4 linked regions of the Nothobranchius furzeri genome follow. The protein of the gene in region 1 interacts with the protein of each later gene in a biochemical or structural test. Links are inferred from orthologs where the notes say so. Each region holds a gene or a part of one and is shown in the gene's direction. Other genes may lie near its edges.

Region 1 (5,873 bases):
TGTTGTTTGTGTAGTGTGTACAGGTGTCAGACGACACAAACCCCATCTTGAACATCCGATGAACTGTATAGTGTACTCTGTGTAGAATTTTGTACTGAATTAATTGTAAATTGGGGTGTCTGATCATTTTAAAAGTTTTTAAACAAGTTTGGGACCAGAAGTCCTGGTCAAAGCTAACTGATAGATCCACCTCCCATTTTTCAATAGGGATTGCAATTTTATCGTCTATTTTGGACAGTGTCTTATACACTTTAGACAGTAGTTTGGGGGGGTTTGAGATTATAAAAGTCTAATACCCTTGGTGGTGTTTGTAATTCTATTTTATTGAGCTTAAATTTTTGTTTGACTACAGATTTAATTTGGTGATATTCTAAAAAGCTATTCTTATCCATTCCAAATTGGGAGACTATTTGATTAAATGGAATGAAGTCCAATCCTTCATATATGTGTTCCAGGTATAGGATTCCTTTATTTTTCCAGTCCGGAAGGTTCATCATTTTGTTGTTTTGCAAAATATCAGGATTATTCCAGATAGGTGTGCGTCTGCATGGTACTAGTGAAGACTCTGTCATTTTAAGATACTCCCACCATGCCGTCAGAGAAGTGCTGATATTAATACTTTTGAAGTTTTCATGTTTTCTTATGCTTGAGCTAATAAATGGTAAGTCTGAAAGCTCTTTCGTATTGCAAAGTGTATGTTCTATATCTAACCAGGACTCATCTAGTGGGTTATCTTGCAACCATCTTGGTATATATTGCAGCCTGTTGGCTAAGAAATAATAATAAAAGTTGGGTAAATCCAGTCCTCCTCTGTCTTTGGTCTTCTGAAGCGTTTTTAAGCTAATTCGTGGAGGTTTATCCTGCCAAAGGAATTTAGTAATTGAGGAGTCCAGAGATTTAAACCAGACAGCTGGAGGTTTGTTTGGGATCATCGAGAATAAGTAATTTATTCTGGGTAAGACCATCATTTTAAATGTAGCAACTCTCCCCTGAAGATTTTTTTCTGAAACCTGATGCTTTTTTTCCCTATGGTCTGAAGTCTGACACCTGAGACCTGAGGGTGCCCTAAAATGTACGCAGAACCACAGCTGCTCTGAGGCACACCAACAGAGGTGAGGCTGCAAAGCTCTGGCGCCACCAGTCCCTCGGATCACCACCAGCAGGCAAGGTGGGTCTTGCACAAGGACACAACAGCAGCATTCTCTGGCTGAGATTGAACCTGCAACCTTCCATTTCCGGGACAACCCGCTCTACCTCCAGGTGAACTGCCAGTACTCTAGACTTTTAATGCTACATGTTTTACATCCTAACAATAAAAACATATTGTTCATACGATGTTTCTATTTTTGTACAATATAACGTCACCAGCTGCCCAGGGCTTAGACCAGAAGTTAGTTTCTGTTTTTCCCGCGCCGGTCACAAACATCAGATTTTCTTACAATTCCAGTCGTCAAAATCCAAAAACCTTTTTCATCTGAGGTTTTAATACACATTTACACATGCTCTTCAAACGAATTTTGCCTCTGGCCGATATCTTTAAATGAGTGATTGAACCCACTACCAAGGATGAACTCTGCTAACTTTAAAAATCTGCTGCTCTAAATAAGCATGAAAGTCAGAGAGGAGCTCTAGGATGGACATGGATAAAGGAACTGTAATGTAGAGGTAAAGTAGGGCAGGGCCAACGTTAGCAGCTGTCATACGGTCCATCTGAAATGTTTGACTTTCATTTAGCTTGTTATGTGACAGGTTAGAGCACAGTCTCATGTTAGAGTTTTGTCATGAGAACATTGAGATACCTCACATGCTGATGGCATGTAGAAATAAACTTTTTTTTTTTCAAAATAAAGAATAATTTTAATCACAATTGAAACGTACAATCCTAGAAAAACCTCGTCCAATCAATGTGCACGTCCTGTTCTCACTGACTGGATAGAAATCCTTCCATCAAACTGTGTGTGTGTCCGCGTGTGTGCGTGACACGAGTGTGTTGTGAACTGGTGTTGTGGTTTTGCACTGATGTAACCATCCTTACGCTGACAAAAATGTAACTAAGTAACTTTTACTTTGAGAACATTTTATTTACGATTCTTTTTACTTTTACTTGAGTAAAAATTCAGGCAAGTACTTTTACTTGTACTTGAGTAAAAAATGATCAAAGTACTGGTACTCATACTTAAGTAGGAAATTTTAGTACTCTTTCCACCTCTGAATATAAATGTCACATTCTTTCTAATATCTGTATTGTAAAAACTTGATAATAAATTCTATAAACGTGAAAAGTATATGGTACAAACTTGATAATATATAGTACATACGTGATGGGACAAACATGAAAATTGTCACCAGACGGGCACCGCACTTTCCCACTCCCAACCAGAAGCTGGCAGTATAACATCAATCCGCATTCAAAATCTGAGAGGTAGAAGACTGCATCACTGACGCGTGCGTCAGAGCGTGATATCCCTCCGCGTAGAGAAGCGCGCGGTCCTTTCCCTCGCGATGCGGTGAAACTCTGAGACCTTCCTGCGCGCGACACTGCCGTTAACATTTCCCGCTCCATCCGTGAGAAACCATTGAGCGAGCACCAGGGGAATATCCACATCTTCTAGCATACACCGAACCCGCCCTGTAGCTCGTACTCACTGAGCTCCGTGGAGGCAATCCAACCCGCTGAGGGCGCCGAACCTGTTCGAGTGAAGCAAGCGGCAGCCGGGACACGGAATGGAGCTCATCACTATTCTGGAAAAGACAGTCTCTCCAGGTGAGTACTGGGGGTGTATGCGCACCTCAGCCAGGGTGTGATGGTGAATTTTCAGAGTAGTTGTGTTGAGTTGCAATGAGAAGCGTGAGAAAAGTTTACGGCAGGGCGGAGGAAGAAGCTAACCGAGCTAACGCTCGGGCCTGACACGGACAGTGACTTCGCACTCTGCCGGTAGTTTTATTGCAGTTTAGGGTAAAAGTAGTCATCATGCCTACTCTGACCGTTTCCATACGTTTTGTCTTAACAAGTCGTTAAAATTGGGCCCCGTGGCGGCTGATAGGGTCGCTACAGGAAGCTGAACCGAAGACCGACCCTGCCCAGGTCTGGTGGAGCCGCTCCATTAGCTTGTTAGTGGGTGTCATTCTAAGTCTCGACCATTTCCTTTACGGTTCAGATTAGCAACTAATAGAAGTGGTCGTTTGGTTGTGGTCTTCGATTAGTGTCTTTATCTACAGTTATTACTGTTTTCAGGCAGTTAGCGCCACTTGGTGTTCCAGAAACGTGTTCCACAGTGGGGCTAATGTTAGCTGCTAACGCGCATGTGCCAGCCTCGGCAGGGCGGTTAGCAGCGTGCAAATGTGACTGCGTGGAATCAATGTCACTCATTTAGGTAGCTATTAACGATGTTTGGAGTGGATCGGACATTAAACCGGGTCAGGGCTCATTGTGTGCCCGCCTACTGGAGTAACACTTCTTTCTCTTCTCAGATCGGAATGAACTGGAGGCGGCGCAGAAGTTTCTGGAGCAGGCGGCGATAGAGAACCTGGTTAGTAGTAGACCCCTAACGGAGGAGGCAGAGGCCGGCAGGGCTGCTGCTGCAGGCCAGAGGAGAGGGGCTTCGGACAGCTGCAGAGTCGCTGGCTTCTCCTCCCTTCTTTTCCCAACACAAAATAAACACACACACACAGGGACGAACACACTCGGCCTGTAAGCGCCACCCTCCAAATCAACTAAACCCAAGATAAACGGAAGTACATTCACCTCGTTAACCAGCTGACTACAGCTGAGTTATTTTTCTATGTGTCAGTTTAAGGTCCCTTTTTAAAGATTTTAATTTCTAACTGGGTTCTTGCTGAAATCAGGTTCTTGACCTTACTCCAGATCCAAATTGTTCAGTAATCATGCAGGATTAGTGATGGTAACTGACTTGGAAAGATGAATTATTTTCTGCCAAGAGTCCCGTTGCTGTGAACGTTTTACAGTAAATTTCAGCACTTGAGGAAATAAATACAGAACAATTTCTCTGTTGGTGTTTGTAGGCTTTGCTGCAGCAGACCCAATATTTCTGAACATTTACTTGTATTTATGTGTTTCCCTGCATTTTTAAAAAGCTGGTGGTAACAACTCACTGCAGTGCATTCACTAAGCACCATCAGGTGGGGGAGAGACTGAGCTTGTCCTTCTGCTGCTTTAACATCCCGTCAGTAAAATAAATTATAAGAGTAGCTTTTAGGATCAGTTTTGAAAGCCTCATGAGCCCTTGTTGCAGAAGGCAGGACATTGACGACTACCTTGGATTCACACTCACTTCGCACCGCTGGCACAAACAACGTTTTTAGCAGTTTTCCTTTTTTTATTTGAGATCTGATTTCAGCCTTTCCATATGTGTCAATAAAACATGTTTTTTACTTTAGAAACTTGAGCGTTGTTTTGCTGTGTCACATCTTTAGGGCTTACTGTCCACACTGGTTCCCAAAGGGCTCAGGAACGAATGAGGTAAAATAAAAGAAGTCAAATTAAACAGAGGGGATGAAAAGAAGTGAATGGCATCATTGTTATTTGCATTGTCTTGCTTTTGAAGTTTCTGTTTTAACGTGGATGGTATCTCAGCCAGAGGTTTAGGGGTTAGTATTTGAATTATTTAGGAAACACTGGATTAACAGTGTTTCAAGGTCTCTGACTTGACTTGAGGTAGGATGATCTATAGAAACAATCCTGAAGGTGAAATGATGTAGTGAAAACAGTTTGTTCGGTGAAGTTTGTTAGGTGTTTATAGATGGAGAGGATGAAAGTTTACATGACAACCAGGAGCCTTTTGTTCAAAGAAGCTCAGAGCTGTGACTTTATTGCTGCCTTTGTTTCTGCTTTTCAGTTGGACCTCACTTTATGTATAAAGTTGTTTTTTACAGGAGGCGATTTGTATATTTGTTATTGACGAATATTTTATACGCTATGCACGGAGAACATCGCAGAGGTAACAATTAAGAACAGGTCTCCATCAGTGCATCTGAGCCTTTTCTCACCCCCTCCGCCTCTGGTTGCTGACGTTGCACGCGCAAGCACCACGCTGAGGAGGGGTTTGGAGAGCGTCTGTGATGCACTCGACATCGTGCACTACAGCGCGGCGTTGAGTGTAAAGTGGAAACCCTTCTGTCTTTCAGACTCTGGAAGACTTCTGGTTATTTCATTTGGAGAATGTTTCCTGATTTAAAACTCTGGCTGAAGTAGCGCTCACCCTTATTCAGCACTTGCTTTGAGTGTGTCAGCAGAGCACGGATCCATCCAGAACATTATTTAAACAGCCATGAGTCTGTCTGAGGCAAAAGTCTAGAAGCTCATAACCTCTTCAGCAAGCTCCCTAGAGACATTTGATTACACACAAGCTGCAGGTGACCAGTTCAGGTCTACGCGGAGCAGAAGGAACCTCCTCCTTGAACCGTCACCTTATCGTGGTGGAGGAGTTTGAGTGCCCTAATGATCCTAGGAGCTAGGTTGTCTTGGGCACTTTGTGCCCCTGGTAGGGTCTCCCATGACAAATTGGTCTTAGGTGAAGGGTGAAAGAACGGTTCAGAGGATCTTTCATGGATGTACAATCAAAGAGTTGGAGTACCCGGCCCCGGGGGTTACCAGGGTCCCACCCTGGAGCCAGGCTTGGGGTTGGGGCTCGTGGGCGAGCACCTGGTGGGCGGGCTTTTGCCCATGGGGCCCGGCCTGAACCGGATACATGGGCTCATCCAACTGTGGACCCACCACCCGCAGGAGGAACATGAAGGGTCCGGTGCAGTGTGGACTGGGTGGCAGACCGAGGCGGGAGCCTTGGCAGTCCGATTCCCGGACAAGGAAACTGGTTTATGGGACATGGAACGTCACCTCACTGGTTGGGAAGGAG
Region 2 (5,418 bases), on another chromosome or scaffold:
GAAACCTCCAGAGGATCCTGGCTCAGTATAAGCAGCCATCCACCACGACTCACTGGGGATCAAGAAGACAGAACACACACACACACACACACACACACACACCAAGCATGGTTGCATTGTGATTTCTTAGTAAATATTCTATTTGGTGAAAGATAAACGTTATTGTACTTATCCTAGTGAATCTATAATTAAATGGGTAAACTAGCAGTAGCACATCCAACGTCAAGGAAAGCAAAAAGTTATTATCAGGAGAGGGAGAATGTTTTAGTGGTTAGCAGCAGTGTGCTAGACGATGGCCCCATCCATGAGGCCACCACAGCTCAGCAGAACATCATTGTAGCTTCTTCTGGGGAGAAAAACACTTAGAGAAAAATTAAAGTTAATAGCTGAAATTGCAGAAAATAATACAGTTAAAGAGCAGATTGTAGAAGAAAGTAGTAGAGTGTGAAAAGTGGTCAGTGTATCCTCCACCAGTCTAAGCCTATAGCAGCATAACTACAGAGATAACTCAGGATAACCTAGCCTTTTTAGATGGAGGCATGTTGGAGGCAGGGCAAGGGAGAGCCGTCTTTACCGACTGTACACTCCACCTACCTCTACTCCCCCACTTGTCCAGATGTAGGCTAACATCAGATTTTAACCATAGGCCCTATCAAATAAAAATGTTTTAAGCCTAGTCTTAAAAGTAGACAAGGTGTCTGCCTCACGGACTAAAGCTGGGAGCTGGTTCCACAGGAGAGGAGCCTGATAACTAAAAGATCTGCCTCCTATCCTAATTTTAGATATTCTGGGAACCACCAGTAAAGAAGGCACCTCCCGTGTATTCTTGCTTAGCTAGCTAAACAGCTAACAAACGAAGAACAGACACCTCGGTAGCACATGATGATTGGAACACGCCTTGGCGGTACCTGATTACGTATCTCCTAGGCAACCGGGGCAGGACCAAGACATCAAGAAACACCGAAGAGTTTGAGATAAAACTGGGTGTTAATTGGCAAGTATCTAGCAATATAATATGTTGCTATACAGGAGAGACGATACGATATATTGAGATACTAAAAGGCTGACTATTTTTGCAATTTTTAAGTGAATTTAACTGGGAAAACTCAGACAATTCCAGTGTTTTCGCAAGATATCGGTCTGTCAGACTGAAGGAGGAAGAAACTGCTGCCACCTAGCTGTCAGTGTTTGATCTGCACCACACAAAAGAAATACAAGAAATGTTGGCATGTAAATTCTCAATAATAGATACTCTGCTTTTAAATATCGATTCTGTATCATAAACCGAAATGTTGTGATATTTCAGTGCATTGAATTATTTTTACATCCCTAGAGTGTTATATGAATACATCTCACCAAAATCCAGAAACTGCTTCATTGAAAGAGGGGAAGGAGAAAATCTGGAGTAATAATCGATATCCTTCCCTACTGACACGCTGTTCCTCAGAAACCTCAGAAGCCTCATGTTGACCGGGTTTACTAGTTATTCGGAGGAAGCAGGTGGCTTCCGAGCCACACTTAGTGTTATTTAACGACACTAGCTCGTTGAGCAAACCCAGCAGCTCGCAAACACGCTGTTAAATTTATTATTGTTCAGTTACGTTGCTAATTGATGCAGGTTCAGCATCCATAACTACGGCCGCGCTGCAATGTTTGTGTATCGTCCGGTGTGTACTTCAAGTGATCGCTGCTAAATCCACCGAAGCAGAAAAGTCAACAAGCTAATTCAAAGAGTTACTACAAAGTTCAAGAGGATTCATCGTTGTTGCCTGGCGTATACCGACACGAAGTTCTGTTGAAAGGCTGTATTTAAAATTATTGTCAATATTGACGGTAAATTGCGAAAATAAAGACGTATAAATGCACGATAATGTCCTAAATAATGTCTTTTATTCACGTGTGTATGAAAGAAGAAGAGTTGATAGTGCTCGTTATTCTGTAACTATCTTGCCTTTGCATACTCTTTGTAAAGGCCAAACTATATATTTTTCCGAATGTTTGTCTATCAGGCAGTCAAATGAGCCTATCATGTACCTCAAATCTAATCATAACTCTGATTGGATAAAACAGTTGCCAAATAAATTAATAGGCGGAATTATGTCCCTGCAGACAAAATTCAGGGCATACGAGAATGCCGCGTCTCGGGTGTCGTCACTTCCTTTAGGTGGCCAGATAATTGCCTGTTAAAGGAAATGTCGGTTCACAGGCCCACGTTTTTAGCAATGTGTTATTGATTTTGGCTCTATATTCCTCGGAAGGTAACGTTGATTAGCGTGTGATTTCATTCATTTCCTGCGTATCTGTGCAAAGTTACTTAAATAGACGCAGTGGGGATTTTAGGAACTTCAGTCGGAGGAGTTGGTCATAGCGACCCGCCAAAAGCCACAAGATTCGGCAAGGAAGTGGCCGTTTTAAACGACACGTAACGGCTGTGTTTAACTTCTTGTGAGGATAATGAGTGGCGGATTCAACTTCGGACAGAATGCAGGGTTCGCCTTTGGAGCGCAGAAGACCACTGCCGCTGCCCCCAACGCGGGTTTTACATTAACCAGCTCAGCAGCTCCGGGAGGGGGGTTCGCCTTTGGAAATGCCAACCAGACCAACCCCACCGCCTCTTTCAGCTTTGGCACCCCAGCCAAGAGTTCCGCAGGCGGCACGGGGTTGTCTTTTAGCACGCCTACTGCCTCGTTTGCTCTTGCTACCCCTCAGACAACACCGGCAGCAACAGGGTTGAGTCTGGGCTCTGCAGCAACTCCGGCTGCCGGGTCAGGGTTCACCTTAGGCAGCCTGCTAACCTCGCAGCCCCCAGCTGCTGCACCAGCAGTAGCAACAGTGGCACCAAGCGGGGGAGGATTCACCTTCGGTGCTCCCACACAAGTCCAGCCTCAGTCAGTGGTAGCACCCACAGCCACGACAGCAGCAAGTGGCATGTCCATTGGAGGGTTCAGTTTTGGTGCTCCCAAAGTCCAGGTGACCTCAGCTGCAGCCCCCACTGCTGCCACAGGAGCGGGATTCAGCTTTGGAACCCCTGCAACCACCGCCTCTGCAGCTCCAACCACCCAGGGTGGAGGTTTTAACTTTGGGATTAAACCTTCATCAACCCCAGCCCCTACAGCAACCACCCAGGTGGCTCCGACTCCAGGCCCTACTCTGTTTGCGACACCCATAACCACCACCGCCGCCACTACAGCAGCAGCTCCAGGATTCATGTTTGGTGCAGCTCCAATTTCGGCTCCACTTTCATCGGTGAGCACTGCAACCACCACAGCAGCTGGAGGGGGCTTATCCTTCCCACTCAAACCTCTGAGTTCAGCAACCACCACCTCTGCTCCGGCCTCCATCCTAACTGCAGCCGCCACCACAGGCACAGCTACGGGCTTCATACTGGGACTCAAAACTACATCCACCACAAGCACAACCACAACAGCCACAACAATCGGCACCACCACCACCACTGCTCCTCCTGTGATGACCTATGCCCAGCTGGAGAGCCTCATAAACAAGTGGAGTCTTGAGCTGGAGGACCAAGAAAGACATTTCTTACAGCAAGCGACTCAGGTGAATGCCTGGGACCGCATGCTGGTGGAGAACGGAGAGAAGATCACATCCCTGCACAAGGAGCTGGAGAAGGTGAAGCTGGACCAGAGGAGGCTGAACCAGGAGCTGGACTTCATCCTGTCCCAGCAGAAGGAGCTGGAGGACCTGCTGTGTCCGCTGGAGGAGTCCGTGAAGGAGCAGAGCGGAACCATCTACATGCAGAATGCCGATGAGGAGCGTGAGAGAACATACAAGCTCGCTGAGAACGTAGACGCACAGCTGAAGAGGATGTCTCAGGACCTGAAGGAGATAATTGAGCACCTGAACACATCCAGCGGCCCAGCTGACTCCAGTGACCCAGTAAGATCAGATCTAAGTCATCCTTAAACCTGTCATTATGATGTTTGCCTTTTTCATTCATCTCTTTCTCTCTGTTTTAGCTCCAGCAGATTTGTAAAATTCTCAACGCCCACATGGATTCGCTGCAGTGGATCGACCAGAACTCGGTTCTCCTGCAGAGAAGAGTGGAAGAAGTGTCTAAACTCTGCGACACCCAACGCAAGGAGCAGGAGAAGAGCTTTCGTTTAACCTTTGACTGATCTGTTGATGAGTTTAACTCTGCATAAACATTATGCTCTTTTGTTTGGATTTACTCATTTCACTTTCTGTTTTGGTTTTATTAAGATAAATATTTTCTCAATAGTTCTTTATAAAGTTAATTGATCATATTAAATGTTCTGGGTAGTGTGATTAAATAAAACAATTGCAGTGGATCTCATTCAGCCTGATGTGGTGTGTCATGACTCTAATTCTCACATCTAATCTGAAACATGAAAGATCTACCAGACTTTTTGAGTTGAAATAATCTAAATTACTTAATCATTTTAGAGCTTTAACTGTAATTTGTCTCAGTAATGATCTACAAGCTGCTTAATTCTACCTGAGCCCTAGATTAGATGTAAAAACACAAGGAGGCGGGTGCAAGAAATGATAAATGACCCGCACTTGTATAGCACCTCTCAGAGTAAGGACTCCAAAGCACTTTACACTACAGTGTATCATTCATCCATTCACACACTGATGGTGATGAGCTACGATGTAGCCACAGCTGCCCTGGGGCGCACTGACAAGCAGAAGCATTGGTTTTCTTAACAGCTCCAGATAAGGTAGTAGAACATGTTGGCCAACCTCACAGGTATGTTGCAAAACACTTTGAGATTTTCATTCTAATACAATGTTAAAAAATACAATTCACCATTTCTACAGTAAAAAATTCCCAGGAAATTAAACAGCCATGTCACAAATATAAAAATGGACTACAGTTTGTCCTAATTTGCAGAATCTGCTAAAAATAAGAGCTTCATTGTCATCCGCTGCTTCCCACCCAAAGCATCGAGATTGATTGTTCCATCATAGGCTGGTAATGTCTGCAGAATCCACGAATGGGGAAACATGAAAACAGTTATCCGTGCTCTGTAAACAATAAAAAATGTTAAGTCTTGCAGGGAATTTACACTTGTTATGCTTTTTTTATTTTTTAGCATCAGAACAAACAAAAGCATCTGAAGAGTTTGAAATGCATTAAAATCAGACAGTTTCTGTACAAAGACTTCATCACTAAACTGTTTCAATGGAATTAAAAATTGTCTTTCGTCATACAATATCAGGGGCGGTTCTAGACCAAGTTTTCCAGGGGGGCCACAGTGGGGCCAGTATTTTTTCATGGGGGCGCAAGAAAAAAAAGGGAAAAATTAGGGCAATATCAAAATTCTTTTTTGTCTCTGCCATATGACTAATTTTGTGCTTGTGCACAATTTTACCAAAGGAAATTCCTAGTACTGTGAAACTACTCACTTTTTTGTTCTCTTCTTTTTAATTTCT
Region 3 (5,755 bases), on another chromosome or scaffold:
TAGTGTTGTAGTCAAGACCAAACTAGCTGAGACCAACACGGCGTTACCAAGATCAGAGACGAGGTTAAGATATTTAGAGGTTGAGACCATTACAAAGTTAATATCAAAAGAATATTGTAATAAAAGTATATATTTTTTATTATTTTTAGTCATGTTCTTGAAAATATGTTTTTCTGCCATGAAATTACATTAATTAATTAGGAACAGCTGAACTAAAATCCTGAACTTCATGGTAGCAAAACACCCTACCAGTAAACCCATGAAGAGTTTGTTGCTGGGGACCTGTCAATACACTACAGTGTATATTGCAGATGTATAATCATGTATGGATAATTAATAATTATCCCTACCACCCATCAAGCAACACTCAAGTTTATCAATATTGTCGCGGACAACTTTAAAATCTAACTTGCTTGTGGATTTTGGTGATGGGACCCAAAATTCCTGGAGGCACCCCTGCACCCACCCACTATAAATCTGCACCTATGGCAGCTGGAGAAAATTGTTACGCTACCATTGATTTTAATTTGGTATTCTCTCATCAGTAAAACATGGACAAAATACCGGTCTCGTAAAAAAAACAGTCTGCTCAGGCCAAGACGAGACAGAGCGAAAATGCCTTCGATACCAAGATGACACCAATAACATAAAAATAAGGCTTCAAGACTGATCTCGACGACTACAACACTAACTCCTCTGTCACATTCACCCACGTACATACACATGTAGCTGCTGCAAAGTAATGAGTAAAGCAACCAGCAGCGAGAGCTGGTGTCTGTTCTTTGCTGTTTTTTGAGCACCTTTTAAAACCACTTGATTATAAAATATGCTGATGACGCTGTAATTGTGGGTCTGCTCAGAAATGCAAGCAGACACGGTCCAGCCATTTAGTCTTTTAAGACACACATCTGCAACCTGAAAAACAAAGGACACGATTTCAGAAAAGCCATCAGTACTCCATCAACCAGAACAAAAGGACAAACCATTGATCAGGTGCCAACTTACCAATTTATTGGGAAAACGATGGGTTCAAATTTAACTTTTGAAAAAGGGTGAGTTTGTGTGCAGGAAGAGGCAGCAGCTATACTGTTTGTGGAATTTAGCTCGTTTTCAAATTGATGAAATAAAAAAAAAGATTACAATATTTTAGGGGTTTTATTGAATCTTTACAGTATGCTCTAATGGGAAACAGGCTTCAACACAAATGGTTGTTTTCCGCTTGGTCCTAGAGCTCAACCAGTGTCAATTTAATACAGCGTAATATTGTTTTTGGAAGGTAAAAAGTGCAGGGGTCAAAACTTGACTTTGGAAAAAGTAGGGGGGACATGTCTCCCTGTCCCCCCCCCACTCCCCCCGCCAAAATTACCTCCATGTGTTTGATGCCTTTCTAATTTCTGACAATTAATTGTTTTTTTGTGTGTTTGTGGAAGCGTTGTTTCCAGCTGTTCTCTCTCCTTGACCAGGGCAGCTGTAAAATATATTTTAAAAGTCTGCAATCCAATCACAGTTGTCCTTTTCCACAACCTGAGTGCCAGGGCGATGTGGCCTAAAATCAATATCACGATACTTCGAGGATTTTACCTCGATACCGATAAATGGACGATAATTACAGGTATGTACAGAAACAAAAGTTGTCCACTAGATGGGGCTTTCACTTGTATGACGTTGAGTCAAATTTTTACGTGACTCAAAGGGACATGAATGTTGCCAACTTACACACATCTTTTCATTTTTTTACTATCAAATTTTTAACATGGGAAAAATGATCTCGATAAGAGTCAGAATTTTTGATAATGATACATTTTCGATTTGTTGCCCAGCACTACTCATGCATAATGTAACAAACTGATTGCTGAACCCTTTTCTTTTGGATTTCCTAATAAGAGAGAAGTATCCACTGTCATGTAGAACGTAGAAGGGTGCACACTTTCCAAAAAGCTACCAAACGACTTTTTATTGTAATAAAGATTTATTAGGCACCATGGCATCAATTTCCAGTTCATCTGCTTGCTTTGATCTCAGGTGTTGGAAACCAGGACAGCCGATGTAACTCCTCCCCCCACTCTGCGATCTCCTCCTCCTCTCCGGAGCCAGCCCAGCCGCAGCAGCACAGGAGCTGCCGTGCCTCGTCTTTCACGGAGGAGATACAGACAGCCGGAGTAAAATCCAAACCCCGTACAGCCATGGCAGACAACGCCGGCTTGGAAAACCACCGCATCAAGAGCTTTAAAAATAAGGGACGTGATGTCGAGGTGAGCTCTTTTTGAGGATATGCGTTTAAATGTCTTTAATCTTAATATTTTAATGTAGATGGGAAAAGCCGACTACCGTCAGGCCTTGCTTGGTAGCCTGGCCCCGGCTGAAACTTCCCAGCCTGCCTGTTAGCTAAGCTACCACAGGGTGGTCGCCATCAAAGATTTCATTACATGAAAATTAAACTCTTAAAGACGACAGCTGTGATGGACTTCAGCGTGGATAAGTCATAAACCTCAGCAACCACTGTGACTGAAAGCTGGATCATAGTTGGGCTTTTAGAACTATGAGAATTAGGGCAGGCGATGTAGCTGTCAGTGCCGGTGTTTTAACGAAAAAGGTACCCCTGCCATTAAAAGCACACTAGTCGGAAATGCGTTATAAATTAAACCATGGTTTGTTTTACTTAACTAAATTAACCACGTTTTCTCCACATATAAGTCAAGTATCGTTTATTCTGTAAAGCTATGCAGTTAATTAGATTGTAATGATGTATTCGCAGTAGTTATGTTGAGGTAGGCTGCTAGGATGCAGTTTTTTTTTTACCCTGGAAGTCTTCGAAATCATGCATCATAATGTACATTGTTTTTTTCCCCCTATAATGTACGTTTAAAAAAATCTTGGCCATAAATAGACGTTACCCAGTGACTAAAGCAACTTATCTCGTTTCTGAACGTTAAGAATATTACAAATTTAGGTCTAAATGTAACGATAATTTAAGTAATCCTAACAAGCTGTCCTTAAATACGCTTCCCATGATGGGTTTCTTTGGCGACTGGTGTACTTTTTTCGACACGACACTAGCTAACTTTAGCTAGCTAGTTTGATGGACACCGGTCTCAAGCGAGGCGGGGCCTACCCGGCTTCAAAATCGCGATATTTCCAATCTTTTTATGCCACCCCACTGTAAACAAAAATGCTAACCAAAGAACGTCACATATAATCAATATTATATGGACAAGTGTGATTTGGGTGGATCGGTGACGGGTGCTCGTTTACCCTAGCCACCCCTCCTCGTTAGCATGCAAACGCGAGCCTGCCAACCGAGCAGCTAGTGTTGTGTCTATCTGTTTTTCTTTAAATATTTGTATTTTCAGTCACCATTAAATTAGGTGACTTTCCTCACAAAAGCAAAGGATAACAAGCTAGCCATTCTGTTAACTATAACCTGTAGTAAAAGGTTATGTCGAATCACAAATGCCCTAACTCAGCATTTCTGTAAAAATTTAAATGTAGTTTACCGTTTTATTGTAAGTCACATTCTAGAAAACACTAGATTTATTTTGTGTACCTACTAGCATATCTAAAATGCTGCATCTTTCACTGAATTTGTCTAAATTGCTCATTGACACTGTAGCCAAAGCAGTTGGTAAAGGATTTGTTTCAAGTTTAAACAAACAAAAAATAGCAAATCTATCATTTCTGGGTTAAAAAATGTTCAAATCAAATGACTAATCTACTCTGGACTTGTTCAAATTATCTGTGAAATGTAAACAATTTTCTTTTAGGGCATTTCTCTCAGCCACAGGGGGGATTACTAACAAAAACATACTTGTTTTAGTGTTGTTCTAATTTATCGGTAATCCCAAGATAATCCACAAACAAAGGTATGTCTGAGAATGCCCTTTCCAAATTCACCAGACGGGAGTTTCACCATCAGAGTGGTGCCTGTATTGGTTGTTTTGAAACTGGAAGTGTGTGTTCGACAAGCACATGGCTACTGGGATCGAGCCTCTGCCAAAGTGCATTCCTGATGCTATTTCAGGCATCTTGGAAGTCTGACCCAGTCCTTCTCAGAACCTCGGCATGAAATTGGGTTTTTGAAAGTGGGTGACTCAGACTACAGCAAATTTGTTTTAGGTCAGCTGCAAAAGAGTGCATTTCATTTTTAACACCTATTGAACTGAATGAGGTCCCACACCCAGACTTAGTATCTTAGTTTTGAATATTGAAAAAGTATTCCATTAATTAGAGTTTTGAAATCTTTTGCTCGACAGATGAAATGTGAGCATTGCTGAAATCATGTGATAATTCACATCTGTATTTAAGAAGCAGTTTAGTTCGGATCAGTACCCCTGGCATTATCATTGTTTTGCAGTGGTCTGGAGCCGCTTCTCTGTTATGACAGCCCAAAGTTACGTAAGAGGCTATTTAGGATGGCAACATGAACCTCTTTAACAGTCACAAGATCTTAGACCATCTCAAAATGCTCTGGATGAGCGAGAAACCCAACAGATGCACTTATACAGCAAAACTATTAAACAGTTTCTCATCACCTGGACTAAAATGAGTTGATTTTCACCTCAAACACAAAGATACGGTCATTTATTGTAACATGTTACATTTTTATCTCTTGTTGTTTTGTAAGACTTCCATCACACTTAAATGCCAGTGTGAAACTATATAATCTTGTTCACATTCTTTGTATTTTCTCCCGTTTCAGACTATGAGAAGACATCGAAACGAAGTGACAGTTGAGTTGAGAAAGGTGAGAAAAGATTCACACGACAGTATTCAGGAACACACAAGCAAATGCACGCACATAATCTGTCCGCGTAAGGCCGATCTGTTTCTGACTCTGGAACAGCAAAGAACGCACATCAGTTTTAAACTTCTGACAACATATAAACAACGTCAAATAGATGATAGCGTTAGTTATTGGATATTGACCGATTTGAGTTTTTCTGTTGCCGATATCTGGAGGTCCTGGACAGCCGATGGCCGCTAAGTGCTGTCGATTTTCACAGTTTAAGTTCTAAATGTTTTCCACCTTATCTGCATGATTAAGTGTCACCAATAACAGTGGCTGCACAACATTTCTGAAACCCTGAATGTAATCAACTGTTTAATCTATAATTAAAATGGTAATAAAGCTTTTATTAAGTAGATGTTTTTCAGGAACTTAAATATATATTTAAAAATAATTCTGCTGCACATGGATGTGCCTTTAAATTGGTTCTACTAAAAAGGCATATTGGTCGACGCTGACCTCAGAACCTCAGAAGTCAGATCTCAGACCTGGAAATGACGTCACACCCAAGTAAACCACGTTCTAGTCACCGTTTTCGGAGAAGCGGGGATCCCATCATGGCGACGCCCTCAAACGGCTCTTTTGTTAGCTCATAATAAACATCACTTGTTTACTTTTTAATGTAACATTGATTTTAAATGCACTCTTATGAATGTGTCTTGTAAAATAAACACAATGCAACTAAAACTTGATGATCCAGGAAGAGGAGCAGGGCCTGATGCCATTTTGGATGGCAGCTCTCTGGATCAACGTCCAGTGCAGAGAGGCATTTTCCATAGAGGCTGAATTCATTCCGAGTTGCCATTTAGTCGTGAATCTTCTGTCTTCAGCCTCAGATTATTTAATCCAGATTACTTTGGGAAACTAAGCATTTAACTCTGTGATTTATGTAATTCCACAGCTTCAATTTGCTAGTTCAGTTTTTAGATTGAAAATGAGATGGTTCATTATTACTCTTTATTTTGTTAAATT
Region 4 (5,723 bases), on another chromosome or scaffold:
GCTCCATTCAGCCAAAATATAACCGATGTCACCGTTGTGAAGGAAACACAATCTTCTCCTGGCTTCCTGTCTGACGGCTGGAGACAGGTGTAACCGTGTCTGTCCTCCATAGTTGCACAGTCACTTTGGTTATAAATAGCTCTACCGAAAGTAGTGGAGGGACAAGAAGGGGAGGGATCTCTGGGTCCTCGTAAAAGACCAAATACAGGAAGACAACACCGTTCACACAGTCGCACAAAAGGAAGAGGACGACGAGACCCTTTTCACATTTCAGTCACGGGTACCCATGCATCCCAGCCTCAGAAACAAGTGCAAGTCCTCATGCTGGGCCTAGATGGCTCAGGAAAGACTTCCCTGCTCTACAAGCTGAAATACAACGAGAATGTGGTTACCGTACCGACCGCTGGTTTCACCGTGGAGTCCTTGGAGATCGACGGGAAAAGCCCAGAGCTGACGGTGTGGGATGTTGGTGGTCAGAGGAAGATGAGGCCTCACTGGAGGCATTACTACTATGAAACAGCTGGCCTGATGTTTGCGGTGGACAGCCAGAACGAGAGACGGCTGGACGAGGCTCGCAAAGAACTGCACAGGGTAGCTACGAAAGAAACTGTTTTGTTATACAATGAAGGTTTCATGTGAAAAGTTTTTAACTGTAACAAAAACGGATCTCCTCTACCTCTCAGGTCCTGAGGCAGGACAGTCTCAGAGGAGTTCCTCTTGTGGTTCTGGCCAACAAACAGGCTCTACCAGATGCTCTGAGCCCCCAATCACTGTCTGTGAAACTGGACTTGAGGGGTGGGTGTGGCGGGCCGGGCGTGGTTCGTCCAGCCCTCCTCAGCCAACACTGGGACGGGACTGGAAGAAGGTTTCATGAGGACGGTTTATCTGATGAAGACCCCTTTCAGACAGACTCAGGACGACATTAAGGTTCAGATGAGATCTAAAGGCTTCGGTTTCGCAGCAGTGAAGCGATTCTGTGGCAGCTGATTACAGGACGATTACTTTTGATGTTTGATTCCTGTCGTCTTTCATCCAACTGAAACCAACTGCGAGGTCAAAGGATGATGCTAACGCAGAGATTAGAGTTAATCCGTGTGGTGAAACTGCTGCGGGGTGAAGAGGCGGGAGGAAAAAAACTGTGAGGGGTTTGTGAAAAATCTGGGATTATTGGGGTGGATTTGAGAAAGCCGTCATGAGGGGCCTTGAGACAGTTCTCTGAAACTACAAATGTATATGAATAAATTAGCAAATAAGGTTTAGATATATTTTATCACTATAAATCATTTTCTTGTGTTTTATATTATTTGAAAATCAAGTTTATTTTGAGCAAATGTCATCTTACAATAAAGGAAGTTCATGTATTTGATCATATTCAGTGTGTTTGTGATTTTTTTAAACCTGCAAAAATGATAATGATGCATTAGCTTCTGATAGAAAACAGACGGTCTAACTGTGGGATTAGAAAAGCCTGACAGATCTACGTCACACTGTCACTTAACAGTCATGGACTCACCCATCTTGGCTCACAATGGGGAAGGCTGTTGTTGGTTTAACGTCCAGGAAACAGCAGAGAACGTCCCGACTAGCAGAAGCTAACATTAGCATTAGCAACTCCACCACACAGCAGAGCACCTCCACGCTTGTGTTATATGTGGAAAAAAACATCATGGTTGCAAAGCAAATGAAGTTGGTGGTAGAGTCGTGTTGCTGTTAGCCAATCAGAGGCGAGATGTCCAAATATCAGGAAATGTTTTACTTCCTGAAACTGGGTCTGTGCTTTTTAATAACCAAGTACGACTTTCATTCACTAATTAATTACTAGAATGAAGCCACAGCAAATGTATTGATGAAGCGTGTGCCCCACATCTTTAAATGCAAATGAATTCTGAAGTAAATCAAATTTCTAAATACCATTGCACTCTTATATATTGACAGATATCATTTATATACAGAGGAAATTTCACTCATAATTGTTTAATAAAACTTAATTAAACATTTTTCCGCATTTCCTGTTTGTTATTTTGTCTTTTTATTATTGATCACATCATGTTATTGTTGAATTTGAGCAACACAAAGGGTAAAATAAGGAGAGGGAGGGTTCTCTGTCTTATGACGTTTTTCATTTGCATGGAAGACAAATAACACCTTCTGTAAAGTCAAACCTGCTATATTACTCCGCTAGTGTAAAACACTAAAGTATTTTGTTTCCATAACAAATCTATATTATGGTGCAGTGATAATTGACCAGATGTGACCTTTTTCTTCCAGTAAACTTCATGCGTTTTGCCTACATGTGATGCGGTGCTCCCACCGCCACGGACGTTGGCAGTGAAACCAATGAGAGCGGAGTGGAGGGGATTTCCCCACCCTTCCTCTACGACACAGCGAGGCGCCCCCCCCTCCACCACCGGCATTCCCAGTATGCACCGCGGACAGAGCAGCGAAAAGTAGTCCGCTAACGAAACGCCGTGAAACGGGAACAAGAAAAAAAGAGGGTAGCTCGCCCGCTAAATTCACGAGTCGAACTGTGTATTTAACGTGACCAGAACAGCAAACATGGCTGACAACGAGAAACTGGACAACCAGCGGCTGAAGAATTTCAAGAACAAGGGTCGAGATTTGGAGGTAAAAGTTGTGCGGATAAGGTGTTTAGGCTCGCCGCTGCTAGCTGCTGCGTTCACGGCCAGCCTTGCCTCTCGGCTGCGCTGTGACGTCGTTTCTAATTTCCACCATCGGGATCTCTGCTGCCAGAGCCCGGCCAAGGCCTTCACGAATCGACCGTTAAGCACCGTTGGCTTTTGGCAGAGTGGCTTCTTGTTCGGTTTCTATCGTTTTGTTACACCGTTAGACCGCATTGCTTAAGAAACATGTCAGAAAAGCCTCCGCTGGATGTGCCAGGGCCGCGGGGGGACATGCGAGCTCAACTGAAGCATTTCACCCCCGAGTCGGTTTAGTTCGGTGTAATATGTCACATATATCAGTAAAAGTACACCTAATTGACCCAGGTTGTCTCCTTTTGAGATATAATATCGATAAACACGCCAGCCTAGCGGCGGATTAATGTAGTTTAATACCGCAGTAAGCTAACTTGCGTGCTAGCTGAGCTCGCGCTGGTTGCATTTCCACCCATCCCCCGTCTCTACAACCAAAAACAATGGCGGAAACCAGTTAGCCGTTTAGCTGACCAGTTACCTGGATCTTAACGTCATGCGTGTGTGTTCCATTGTTTTGTTTATCACCAACGAATATTTAGAAATCTATAAACACCTGGTCGACCTCGTGACATGGTAGATCAAGCTACACGTTAGCAAACGTCAGATCAATACTAGGTGAGTTACTGTCAGCCCGGCGTGTCTCATTGTCTCATGTGAGCGTATGGTAGCGAAATAAGGTCTCGGGCGGGATTTTACCTTACGGGTGTTTATAGGCGGGATGTGCCCGTACATCCTGCTTGACAAGTCGTTACTTTCTCTGAAGAAGCAGGCCTCAAGAGTCGTATCGCTCATCGATTTGTCAATAACTTTAGCTACAAGTATGGAAGAGGTTCGGAGGAGGTGGACACACCCAGACTCCTCAGTGAGCAGAAACTTCAGACTTATTTCATTACCATACTGAAATAACGTGTATTTAATCGTTTGATCACGTGACTAAATACGTTGCTCACTCACATTGCATCAAGTGTTTAGATTCGTTTGCAAATAACCAGGAAGATTAAAAAGTGGCATTTAGGCAACATAAACCACTGAATCTTCGAGATCCTGAAATAAAATAGTCTTGATGCAATCATCATCAACTCTGCACGATAACATCTGACACCATTCAAGTTAATTCAAGCTACAGATCGACTGATATGGGTTTTTTCTATTGCAGATACCAATGCCCACTGGTAGGGGTCATGGTCAGCCAATGGCCGATATCTAGACTTTTTCCACCATAACTCTTTGCTAAAATGTCACTAATAACGGGATGCACAACATTCATGAACCTAATCAGTTGACACAGAATTTGACATCATGAATCATAATTTTACGCTCTGCGTGGTATTAAAATCAATCTTTTAACCAACGTTTATCAAAAAGAAAACAAAAACCTGACTAAGTATTAAATATGCAAACCAGGTAAATAAGAATAAATGTCAGTTGACAATGTTTTCGAGAATTTATTAATCAGATGCTATTAAAGAGCAAGTCACTCCAAATCAACATTTTTTTCTCCTGATAAACTATATAAATGAGTGCCTAATCGTGCTGCAGACACGTGTAGTCAATAATTCGGCACTTTAGTGCATCTTAGTTAAAATTTAAATATTCTGCCTAAAACTGTCAGTGTTGCACCGTCGTCAGGTAAAAACTCAGCACTGCATTTGAATTTAAATCTGCCGTCGCTATTGGCTAAGAGGTACACTATGATGTTAGATGGTACATTATAATGTCACAATGCCGTGAGTGTGTGTATTTGTTAGCGGCTCAACCCTCTCGGTCTGCTAGGCAACAGCATTTGTTGCATTTTTCAAACAGGAAGTGGGAGTTGAGTAAGAATCTGGTAGGGGGTGACTTGCTCTTTAAGGAGGGTAAACATAAAATTGTGTAGTGGAATCGGGCTGCCCACTGATGTGCTTGACTTCAAATCAGCTTTAGTATAGTGAAAGGTAAATTACAGCTCCATTTTTTTTGGTCCATCCCCAATTCAACCTGTCATATTTAATGGCATAGGTGATTGTTTGTCATTAGACAAGAAAACAAGAAAATGTGGATTGTATCCCACTTCCTACTCCACATTTGTGTGGAGAAGCTACATCATAGCGGTCCAAGTTTGGTACAATGCTGCATGTAATAATTTATTTTAAATTAGCACATTTTTATAATTAGCATGGAAACATTGTGGTGATTCTTAAAAGTGTTTAATACAAATTTTCTCTGTTTCAGTTTTAAGTTGGATCCAAAATGTATTTTTGGACCAATTTAAGATCTTTTTTATCAAGCTTCTAATATTATAGACAATATGATAGCTTAGCTTATCAAACAACCTTTAATCTACTTTGTAACCTGTTAATACAAATGCTGTAGTCGAATGGACGTAGTAACCTTAAACCAGAAATAAAGTGTACACAAAAATGACTTGTGCTCACAAATGTATCCAGCTAAAAGTCATTTTTGGGTTTGTACCAGACTCGTGCATTGAAGAGGAGGAGTGCTTTTATATAACTAACGTAGCAGGATAAAATAAATCATTAGCGTTTGTAACATTAGAGGGAAAATGTGGCATACAAACGTGTACTAAAGGTAAAGTCACCACCACTACTGTTGTTGCTACACCTACAAGTAAATACATACAAGTAACTCTCTGTTGATGTTAGCAGCTAACAAGAGGTTATTAGCTTACAGAGGCGACTCTTTGCGCTCTGCCATGACGTGCTCGTCCATCGCAGATGTGCGCCCATGAATGTAGAGTTTCACTTTGCAGATTTTGCACTGTGCATGCTTCTCGTTTATTTGTCGTTGTAAAACGCTCTGCACCTTCTGAGCTATGCTGTGGACTCGCCATGATGTCATCTTTCGCCGGTTATTCTTGATTCAAAGGCTGATCTGGACGGCCACGACTGCGCTTGTGCCTCGAGCAGAAAGCAGCCACTGAAGGTGCCACAGAAAGCGTGATTTAATAAATGCTCATACAATAAATGATGTCGACTATTAAATTTCTAGTTGACTATCTTGTTTGTCAGC

Evidence for each region.
Region 2: the proteins of kpnb1 (region 1) and nup62l form a complex in vitro, tested with the Homo sapiens proteins (2 studies listed by BioGRID). The link is inferred for Nothobranchius furzeri from reciprocal best matches to the Homo sapiens genes KPNB1 and NUP62.
Region 3: the proteins of kpnb1 (region 1) and kpna3 form a complex in vitro, tested with the Homo sapiens proteins (2 studies listed by BioGRID and IntAct, with this or other methods). The link is inferred for Nothobranchius furzeri from reciprocal best matches to the Homo sapiens genes KPNB1 and KPNA3.
Region 4: the proteins of kpnb1 (region 1) and kpna4 form a complex in vitro, tested with the Homo sapiens proteins (2 studies listed by BioGRID and IntAct, with this or other methods). The link is inferred for Nothobranchius furzeri from reciprocal best matches to the Homo sapiens genes KPNB1 and KPNA4.

The regions. Positions count from the first base shown.
Region 1 is NC_091745.1:29,752,863-29,758,735, reverse strand, and holds the start of kpnb1 (importin subunit beta-1), read left to right. Parts: upstream 1-2,513; 5' UTR 2,514-2,724; coding exon 2,725-2,764; intron 2,765-3,471; coding exon 3,472-3,530; intron 3,531-5,873.
Region 2 is NC_091754.1:20,876,047-20,881,464, reverse strand, and holds nup62l (nucleoporin 62 like), read left to right. Parts: upstream 1-2,263; 5' UTR 2,264-2,454; coding exon 2,455-3,897; intron 3,898-3,977; coding exon 3,978-4,136; 3' UTR 4,137-4,315; downstream 4,316-5,418. Other genes in the region: pdk1 (pyruvate dehydrogenase (acetyl-transferring) kinase isozyme 1, mitochondrial), read right to left, coding at 1,357-1,465. UniProt on the Homo sapiens protein: Essential component of the nuclear pore complex. The N-terminal is probably involved in nucleocytoplasmic transport.
Region 3 is NC_091754.1:26,746,820-26,752,574, reverse strand, and holds the start of kpna3 (importin subunit alpha-4), read left to right. Parts: upstream 1-2,051; 5' UTR 2,052-2,183; coding exon 2,184-2,252; intron 2,253-4,696; coding exon 4,697-4,741; intron 4,742-5,755. UniProt on the Homo sapiens protein: Functions in nuclear protein import as an adapter protein for nuclear receptor KPNB1. Binds specifically and directly to substrates containing either a simple or bipartite NLS motif.
Region 4 is NC_091753.1:52,638,736-52,644,458, reverse strand, and holds the start of kpna4 (importin subunit alpha-3), read left to right. Parts: upstream 1-2,416; 5' UTR 2,417-2,556; coding exon 2,557-2,625; intron 2,626-5,723. UniProt on the Homo sapiens protein: Functions in nuclear protein import as an adapter protein for nuclear receptor KPNB1. Binds specifically and directly to substrates containing either a simple or bipartite NLS motif.